Nothobranchius furzeri: one gene and its partner. The main gene of each other region encodes a partner of the protein of the gene in region 2 in a complex. Links are inferred from orthologs where the notes say so. Each region holds a gene or a part of one and is shown on either strand. Other genes may lie near its edges. The genes, in order: vamp8 and snap29.

Region 1 (4,533 bases), about 28 Mb from region 2:
GGCCTTTCTGTTTCTCTGCTGGATCGAATCAACTGGACCTTAGAAAATGAAACCCACATGAATGTTTTAGTCTAACAGCTTTCGATAGGCATGCATTACAAATAAAACCAGAAGGAAAAATGTGCCTGGCCAGAGAAAGGGTCTGGGAACTCTGCTATTTAAATAACCCCACCCAGAAATCTAACCGAGCCAATCAGCGCTGAGTAGCGTTCGTCACACACCACAACGCCGAGTTTGTCACAAACACCCTCCTTTGCCAGATTTATGAATGACTTTAAACAATATTTTTCCTCGCTTAAGCATCTAAAATCAGACCGATTTGTTACAATTCATGACAAAATCTCATCTCTCGGTCTTAGACTATTAGGCTCTTATCTTCTGTGCTACAGGATTGTATTTGTATTTGCAGGAGTATTATTTGGATGTTGTGTTTGCATTAACCCCCCGTCTTGTGTCTTGATTTTTGTAAAGTCCCTTTTATTTTTGTTATGTCCCTTTTGTTTTCACGTATCTATTTTATGTTGTACATAGATGCTGTCATGTTATTCACTAAGCTGTTGGTTTTGGCTGTTGTATTGACGAGACTGTAATCCTCAACGAGAATATGTATCTTGTTCAATTATAAATAAAGAACATGGCGACTGAATGGGGAGTTCGCTGCGGCTCTTTCCTCTGTTCTAGATGACTTTGGCACGTCTTTAAAACAACAAGTAGAAGCACTAAAAGCCTTACTTCTAAGAAAGATGGCGCTGTCGCCAGACGCCATTTTTGACTACAGCTAAAAAACTACTGCATTGCGCGGTACTGTCTGCATTTCTGTCTTTTTTGTGATTGGTGATTTTTGAGCTTCCTAGTCCCGCCCCTCAAGTGCCTCTCTGCCTGTGAGGAACCAGACACTCTCTGCAGGATTAAACAGGACCAGTCTGGCAGGCCAGGCTAAAACCTATGAGGAAAACACACACACAGCACTCACTTATGAGTGTTATTGTCTTGTTTAAAAGCTGAACCACTTTCTATGTAACAACTATTATTACATTATAATAGTTTAGCACAGATGTCTGCTGTGGTGAATAAAAAGTATTTATTTAAAACTTAGGCCTACTGCTAATGTGAATTTGTTATGTTTGAATTGCTCTTATTTTTGCAGACGTTTGTTTAGTTGAGCATCGGATTAAATCACAATCCAACTCTCACCACTGACTCACAAATCAGCAAAGCTTCAGACAAATAAACGGATGAATAAATATTCTATGTGCCCTTGAAAGGTAATTACACTCAGTTTATCAACAGCAGACACAATACAGGAGTACATCTTCTAAATAAAAGCATAGATGTTTCACAATAAAACAAACGATGGCCCAGGTTCATAACAAAATGTATAAACGCAGAAGTAAAAATAGGAAGAGCATTAAATAATTAAATAAATAAAATAATACACAGTTTAAAAAACTTAATTAAAATCCAAGTGATTTGGTTAACACGTTTTATCTCCTGTTTTAAATTATGAAACAAATGTAGTACCGTTTTATTTTATTTAACTTTTCTAACGTAATGCTTGTAAATGTTAATAAACTTACTTTAAACCGTTTAATGAGCTTCACGTTTATCGCTTTAATGAAACCGGATGTGGGTTTGAGCTGAAAACTCGAAGCGAAGGAATTCAGAGTGAAGAGAAAAAAACAGGAAGTGAAACCAAGGAGGAGCGAGTGAGAGAGAGAGAGAGAGAGAGAGAGACACCTGTAGGAGCGTCAAACTTTTAGGTTTTACATCATTTTAAAGGTTTTAAACTAAAGAACCGTGTCTGTGGGTCTTCTGAAGGAGGATCTAGTTTCTGACAGGATGGACGCGGACCCGGTAGGTGATGTTTTTCTTGTTTTGTTGCAGCGACTCCATAACGAGGCGCCATGTAAGGAGCAGGTGTGTTTGTTCAGGTCACATGAAGAAAATGAATAATGTTTGAGTTGAGGGGACACCTGTAACTTACGACCCTGTTTTCCCTGAACAATGGCGTCCACTCGGAAGCTGCTCTGCGGTCCTGCTGTTGGACATTTACTTAAGTTAATGTTTGAAAGTGTGAAGTCGGTGTTTAAATGAGCGTTTTAAACGCTGTTGCAGCTTAAAGCTGTTTGTTAGCTCAAACTTAGCTAGCTAACTTAGCTCAGAGATGCTGTAGCATCTTGTTCCTGCTGGCTGGAGAGGTCAGAGGATCAGATACTTCAGAAGGTGGAAATAATTTGTTTTGGACTGAAACCTTGGTCTGTCCACATACGTTTGGTGTGTTTTCTAAGCAGGCGTGCAAACAACAGATGTAAAAGTAATGTTGTTGCTATTTAAGATAAACTGATCTGTATCATCTTATTTTTTCAGGGCATCATCATTGAGGCACTTGGATTCAATTTCTGTAGTTTTGAACCACTTTAGGACACAAACAAATGTTTTTTTATTCTGGTCAGCTGGATATCTAACGGTGGTTTTTGACTGTTAAATGTTTGTGACCAAGTGAGAAAAGCTTTGCATGCAAATCTGAAGCAGGACTGATCCTCTGCTGCTGCTGGGAACAGAGGTGTTTCAGTCTTTATAATAGAGACAGAACAGATTAAAGCTGAAAGATCAGGATTTACACTCCATTCAAATCTCACATGTGCTCACAGATTAAGGGAATTTCACATTTGACTAGTTAAAGAGTCGGCATTTTAAATGGCTCACTGAGGATATAGGTTACATTTATTTTGCAATCAAATGAAAGTTTTCCTTTAAATTTACCTTTTAAATCATAGAGACCACATCTGTGCCAGCTTTGTAGTTGCCTGCTATCTAATTTTATTTCCTCTTAATCAGGTTTTACTGGAAGACCCAAGTTCGTCTTCATCTGCTTCCTCTCCAGCACATGCTGAGCTCTTTTAAATGAATCCTACCATCTTTATGCAGATGGCATCCAACTGTACATCTCCTTTAAGAACCATGAGATGTCTAAGCTACAGCTGTTAGTGTTTCCCCTAGGGATTTTTCCAGCTGTGGTGGTGGGGGGGGTAATGACACGACTCACCTTTATGTTAATATTGTTTTATTTGATGCACTCCACTTTGAACTACACCAGTACAGCAACTGCTGCATTTTAATGACTAGTATTGAAGGTGAATACCTCTTATTTATTATTGGAAATCCTTACTTTGGTTAAATAAATCAGTTGTTGAACCCCCCACTCCTCTGTTTGGTCTCCTTTCTTATTACAGCCCACCACTTCCAGTCTGGGTTGTAACAATCTGCAGACAGATTTCTGAGCATCTCCTCCTTTGGTACACAGATCCTCACTGAGCCATGTACTGTGAACAAATAGTTTCTCCGTGATATTATCCAGCAAGATCTTGTTTTTGTCAAAACAAGGGTGAGGTAATGAAAAAATAGAAATATTTCAATAAATTAACATTAAAATTATTTATATGCATAATTAAAAAAAAACATGTTTTGAAATATATAAAGTGCACCAAACTTGACTCAGTCCATTCAACAATTCTAAATGGACAATTATGTAACTCATCAATTAATTATTTGAAAGGATAATTTGTCAATTAAATGCTGAAAAAAATAAACAATACATTAATGAGGCAAGAACTTTTTAAACTTGGACATACCTACACCCACAAGTCTATTTTTACCTGGTTAAAACCATCTAGCTTATGTGCACTTTTTAAAACACTGCCCAGCAAACATTCGGACGTTTAATGACAGTTGAACGGTCACAACTGTAAAATAATATCACAGGAATTAGGAAAGAATAACATGACATCAACTCTATGTCCCTTGGCCGGACTCGAACCTGGATCCTCCAGAGTGAGAGTCACCCGCTCTCCCAGCTGAGCCATGACAGCAACTGCTGAATCTCAGATTTTTTTATACAGATAGCTAGAGAGTAAAGTGCGGAGTAAACTAACCAATCAGAGGACAGGGAAGATCTGCCACAGGCCACGCCTCCAGAGTGCCAAAACTCCTCACAGCCGAGCGAGCGGAATTAGAAACCGAGCGCGCAGAGGCTGCCGAGCGCGCAGAGAGGCTGCCGCGCGCGCACGTTTTCCTCTGCCGTGTGCTCGTTGGCAACGCGCGCACGCAGGTTTGTCACTTGTGCACATCCTTGTGCGCTCACAGACACAGTTTGCTCCCTCTCAGTGCACAAATGACCTCTCGCCATGTATATTTTCGCTCGCGAGTCCCGTTCACACGCGCACTGTGGACCCAATGCGCGTGCACGGGTTGTGGCACGGGTCTGACGCGATACTCTCTCCCCCAGAGATCGGTGGACTCAGTGGTCTCCTTTAAAAGCAGCTGAAAACTCACCTGTTCAGGCTGGCTTTGGTGTGACCTTAACTATTGCCCTTTTCTTATTCAGCTCTTTCTACCAATTCAGCCTTTCCCAGCATCCACTGATTACCTCTTTTTTAAAATAATTTTCTGTTTTTCTTTCCCAAAAATTTCTAATCACAATGAAAATTTTTCTTAAATATATGATATTTTTTAATAATTATTTAAAGTCTTTAT
Region 2 (4,372 bases):
AGACCCACATGGCAGCACAAAAGAATGCAAATGGTGAGTTTTGCATCATGTCTCCAAGAATCGCAACTAAAGTTAAAAGACATTCTACTTTTATTTTTAACATTAACTTTGGTATTTCTCATCATGTGATTAGAAAATTGCACAATTTAGTCAAGGTTCAGTATAATATAACAGAAATGAATTATTTTTACCCAAATTTTTATCAAGGGTGTGGTGAGCCTCCTTGAGGTAGCTGTTCTGTGGGTATCCATTCTGTCCGGATGAGCCAGAATCCAAGGATGAAGCTGCTCCAAAACCTGGAACACAGGAAGGAGAAATGATGACGGCTGGTTCATGGGATGATTAAAACATACCCAGGTTCATGTGCCAACGCCCACCTCCTGTCTCCAGTTTTCTTAGATTGGGGTGGCTCGCTTGGTATTTATCTTCATGTTCTCTGCTGCTGGACATGGCCTTCTGTAATCTGAGACAAAAAGTACAATTCAAAACAAGAAATGAACTGAAATTTCCAGATAATGATCATGTTCTGGATTCTATGATAAATAACGTTTGGGGCTACTTTCATTAAACACATGAAGCACCTTAGTACATGTGCTAGAGGTGAGGGAGGAGCTACACCTCACCTGTAGTAACCTCTGAAAATCCTCCAGCAGTGCTTGGTTTGTAAATTCAGGGATACTTTAGAAATAAAACAGTAACTTTAGGTCAACTACTGATACTATGAGGTGTTGGTGGCACAGGAGCTCAGTGCTCGCCCCGTAATTAGAAGGTTGCAGCTTCGAGCCCCGCTCAGTTTGTCGCTGTCGTTGTGTCCTTGGGCAAGACACTTTACCCCCCTTGCCTGCTGATGGTGGTCAAATGGACCGGTGGTGCCAGTGCTCGCTCGCCAGACTTGCCTCTGTCAGTGCGCCCCAGGGCAGCTGTGGCTACATCGTAGCTCATCCCCACCAGGGTGTGACTGGGTGAATGACTGTGATGTAAAGCGCCTTGGGGGGTTATAGGACTCTAGGTGGCGCTATATCAAATACAGGCCATTTACCATTATACATTTCTAACATTTTGTAGCGTTGTAGCTTAGAAGGTCTAGTAAATGAATCAGTTGTATTAGTATGAAGTCAGATTTCAACTTTTAATCCTAATAATTATGATTCTTTAAATGCTGTAATATTTTATAACTTCTATTCCATTAAGCTTTAGAACTTGATTTGCATTCAACTTTAAAATAAAAGTTATTGAATATTTGTAAAAATGACAATAGCAAAAGCAGTAAAAAGTCTAAAGTGTTGGACCTGCAACAAATAAGAAAATGGTATTGATATGACAGCAGCACAGGAGTGACTGAAACGTACCGTTCATTGGTCTCGTAGGCTTTTGGCTCTTCAGGGGTTGGCTTTGCATCTGGCTTACCCTTGAAGTAATTGACAAGACCTCCCCACACACTCTTGATAGAGTTAATATGCTTTTGGCTGGTTTTCAGGTCCTGATCCATACCCTCCAACATCTTGTCAGCCCTCTTCAGAGCTTCACCTTGTCGCACCAACTCCTAAACACATATACACATAAAAATAAATGAGCAACCGAGGAAGGATATTTATGGATGCGGTGAAAGAGGATGTGAAGTTAATGTGAGGGTAGAGAATGCAGATAGGAAAGGACTGAATGACGACAGACAATTCACCATAGGGACCATTGAAGGCAAAAGCCAAAAGAGAAAGAAGAACATTAAAATAAATGAGCAAAAAATGGATGAAGAATGCATGGATAGATGGATGGACTTATACCTCTGCAGTTTCCACACCCATCTTCTCAGATTCATAAATGAGACCAAGGGAACGATGGCTGCTATCCACAGCAGACTGTGCTGTGCGCATTACTTCCTGTCGGAGATACCTCTGCCTCCTCTCAGCGTCAGACAGCCCGCTGTCATCAGCTTCACCATCAAAATCCCTATTTTTAGGCTTAAATCCTTCCTCCTCCTCGTCATCAGCAAATGGATTGTGAGATTTTGGGTAGGCCATCTGAAAGTTAAACGCACAGTGTTGACAAAATAATATTATCTAAAGTCTTAAATATATGTCAACAGGATTAAGTGTGCTCATCTGCTGTATAAAAACCACTAAGCAAAGCTTTTGACATTAAGAAAGTGAAATAATATCATGTTGTGAGAAACTGAAATAAGTCATAAAAGAAGTGATTAAAATCCAAATAAGTCCTCATAAGTTACTTTTCTAAAAATACACGTGAGAACACCTGCCAAGATAGATAATAATATAAAAAAAGTAGCTTGTAACGTATTACAGTCCCTACAACATAACGACAACTTACCATTAGCATCAACAGATAAGTTGACACATTAATCTGAAAAAAGTTTAGCTGTATTTTGAAAAGAACTCTTTTCTACTTTCAACAAGTTTCAGTCTTCACAGAAGAAAACATGTTTTAAATGATGGGTGGCTCCAAGCAGTTCACTGCTGTATGGCACCGGTATTATACAACCTAAAGACAATAATATTTGTTGTTCTGTGTTGTTATTTAATAGGTGTTGGCTAGCATGTTCGAGAAGATACTGCTAGCAGAACTAGCCGACCCACACGTCAAACAGCCACACCCGAGAGACAAAGCCGCGGTGTAGTTTGACTGTAAACACCTTTTCAGCTATGAAATAGCATGTGCCAAACGACACCCTAAAAATGATAATTAAAACGACACTCACCTTCTGACTGTCGATAACTCAGTGCTACAGATGAGCACTGTGTCACGTTGGATGACGTAGTGGTGTGCCGTGCGCAACAAAAAGTATAAAAGTACTCCTCGTGTATAAAATAATATAAATAAAAATTTAAAATATAAAAAATTCGGATGGGATATGTTTAACTTAGCTTACTTGGTTAAATAAAAAAAAGTAAATAGCTTCAATATATTGAATGGCGCAACATGGAATTGTCCGTGTTGGGCTTCCGTCCGTACTGCGGTATCCTAACGCTAGTTGCCGCTGCTCTGCCGTTTCCTCTTATTGTTGAATCATAACGCTGGCTTGATGGAATCGTAAACATGTCTTTAATGGGAGGCAGTACGAGAGGGTTTTATTTCAACACAGTTCTATCGCTGGCCCGCTCACTTGCTGCTCATCGTCCTGCCCCCGTCGACAAGGTGAGGAAAAATCCAGAGTAATTTTCTCTTGACAAAAATTAGCATAAAATTAGCTTAGGTCGGAACAGTAATGACCACTGGTGTTTAGGGTGTTGCTCCGCTTCCGCACGCCCAGGCGGTGCCTTATTTTGATTACAGACAAGATTAACGTTTGACAGTTCCGTTTATGTTTGCATTTAGAAGTCACCAGTACGGGAATTAATGTTTCCCTCTCCCGTATCAGAAGATAAACGGGCTGTTGCTGCGCTTGTGTGGTTCCTGCTACTGCATCACTCAGGCGGAGTAGCCAGCCTCGCTGCGGTCAAACAGGTTTACAGATGAGGGGGGAAAGTGCTCAGCTGGTTGTGGATACTAACCTGTTCAAACTACAGGGTGGAGAATGAAGAAGATTTACTTCACCACTTAAGAGAAGCTCGCACGAGAGTCGATTTGATTGATTTTGTTGAACCAACTATCCACGCACTCCATTATCTATTGTGTATTTAGAGTTTTAGCTAGAATATCAAACAGGTAATAAAACATGGAAAATTCATGTGTATTAATAACGGGTTGAATACAGTACAAATGTTTTTTTTTTTTACAAAAATCAGAAATAATTTCAGTTACATTGTTGTAAAATTTCAGTTATAAGACAGGTAAATATTGGATCATGCAGGTGTCGTAAAACAAGAAACACTGCAACATTTGAGACTGATACTATAAAGAAATAGCAGAACCCTTGTGACATATTATTGACTTTTAGATATAAAGTTTATTTGGAAAAGCCACAAACCTTTAATGTCATCTTTAGGTTTTAACTTAGTGATGCATTTTATGGCATAATTACCACAAACTTCCGCAAAACCCCAGTGTTTATTTGCTCCCAGATCTCGTAAAACGTTTAAATACTATATAATAACTTTAAATACTGGTATTTTAATAATGCAATGTGCAAGTTCAGTTAGTGAAGGAAAGTGTAATTAGATTGAAAAATTTCATTGTTTTGAAATGACCAGATTACCTTTTTTCCTTCTCTTTCGTGGTCGTATAACATAATTGCACCTACTAGACAGATCAAACAATGATGTTCCCACAAGCTTATATATGCGCTTCTCTTTATTAGTCACTCTTATTAACCCCGATGCGCCCATCATTGCCATCACAACCTGAATTGATCACATCTCATACTTTTAGGTTCCAATTTTTTACTCCCCCATAGACTGAAGCTTTTTACCTTATTTCA

The links.
Region 1: the proteins of snap29 (region 2) and vamp8 are in contact, whole or in part, in a crystal structure (PDB 4WY4), measured with the Homo sapiens proteins. The link is inferred for Nothobranchius furzeri from reciprocal best matches to the Homo sapiens genes SNAP29 and VAMP8. Residues at the interface, in NP_004773.1 of Homo sapiens: Leu206, Leu209, Ser210, Leu213, Leu216, Lys217, Ala220, Leu221, Met223, Gln224, Ile227, Glu228, Gln230, Asp231, Leu234, Leu237, Thr238, Val241, Asp242, Leu244, Asp245, Ile248, Lys249, Thr251, Glu252, Val255, Arg256, Leu258; in NP_003752.2 of Homo sapiens: Leu16, Glu19, Val20, Val23, Ile26, Met27, Gln29, Asn30, Arg33, Ile34, Arg37, Asn40, Leu41, Leu44, Lys47, Thr48, Asp50, Leu51, Thr54, Ser55, His57, Phe58, Thr61, Ser62, Val65, Lys68, Phe69.

The regions. Positions count from the first base shown.
Region 1 is NC_091757.1:27,702,978-27,707,510, forward strand, and holds the start of vamp8 (vesicle-associated membrane protein 8), read left to right. Parts: upstream 1-1,653; 5' UTR 1,654-1,839; coding exon 1,840-1,854; intron 1,855-4,533. UniProt on the Homo sapiens protein: SNAREs, soluble N-ethylmaleimide-sensitive factor-attachment protein receptors, are essential proteins for fusion of cellular membranes.
Region 2 is NC_091757.1:55,818,906-55,823,277, forward strand, and holds the start of snap29 (synaptosomal-associated protein 29), read right to left. Parts: upstream 2,971-4,372; 5' UTR 2,714-2,970; intron 2,019-2,713; coding exon 1,782-2,018; intron 1,544-1,781; coding exon 1,350-1,543; intron 464-1,349; coding exon 378-463; intron 297-377; coding exon 192-296; intron 1-191. Other genes in the region: pi4kab (phosphatidylinositol 4-kinase, catalytic, alpha b), read left to right, coding at 3,052-3,150. UniProt on the Homo sapiens protein: SNAREs, soluble N-ethylmaleimide-sensitive factor-attachment protein receptors, are essential proteins for fusion of cellular membranes.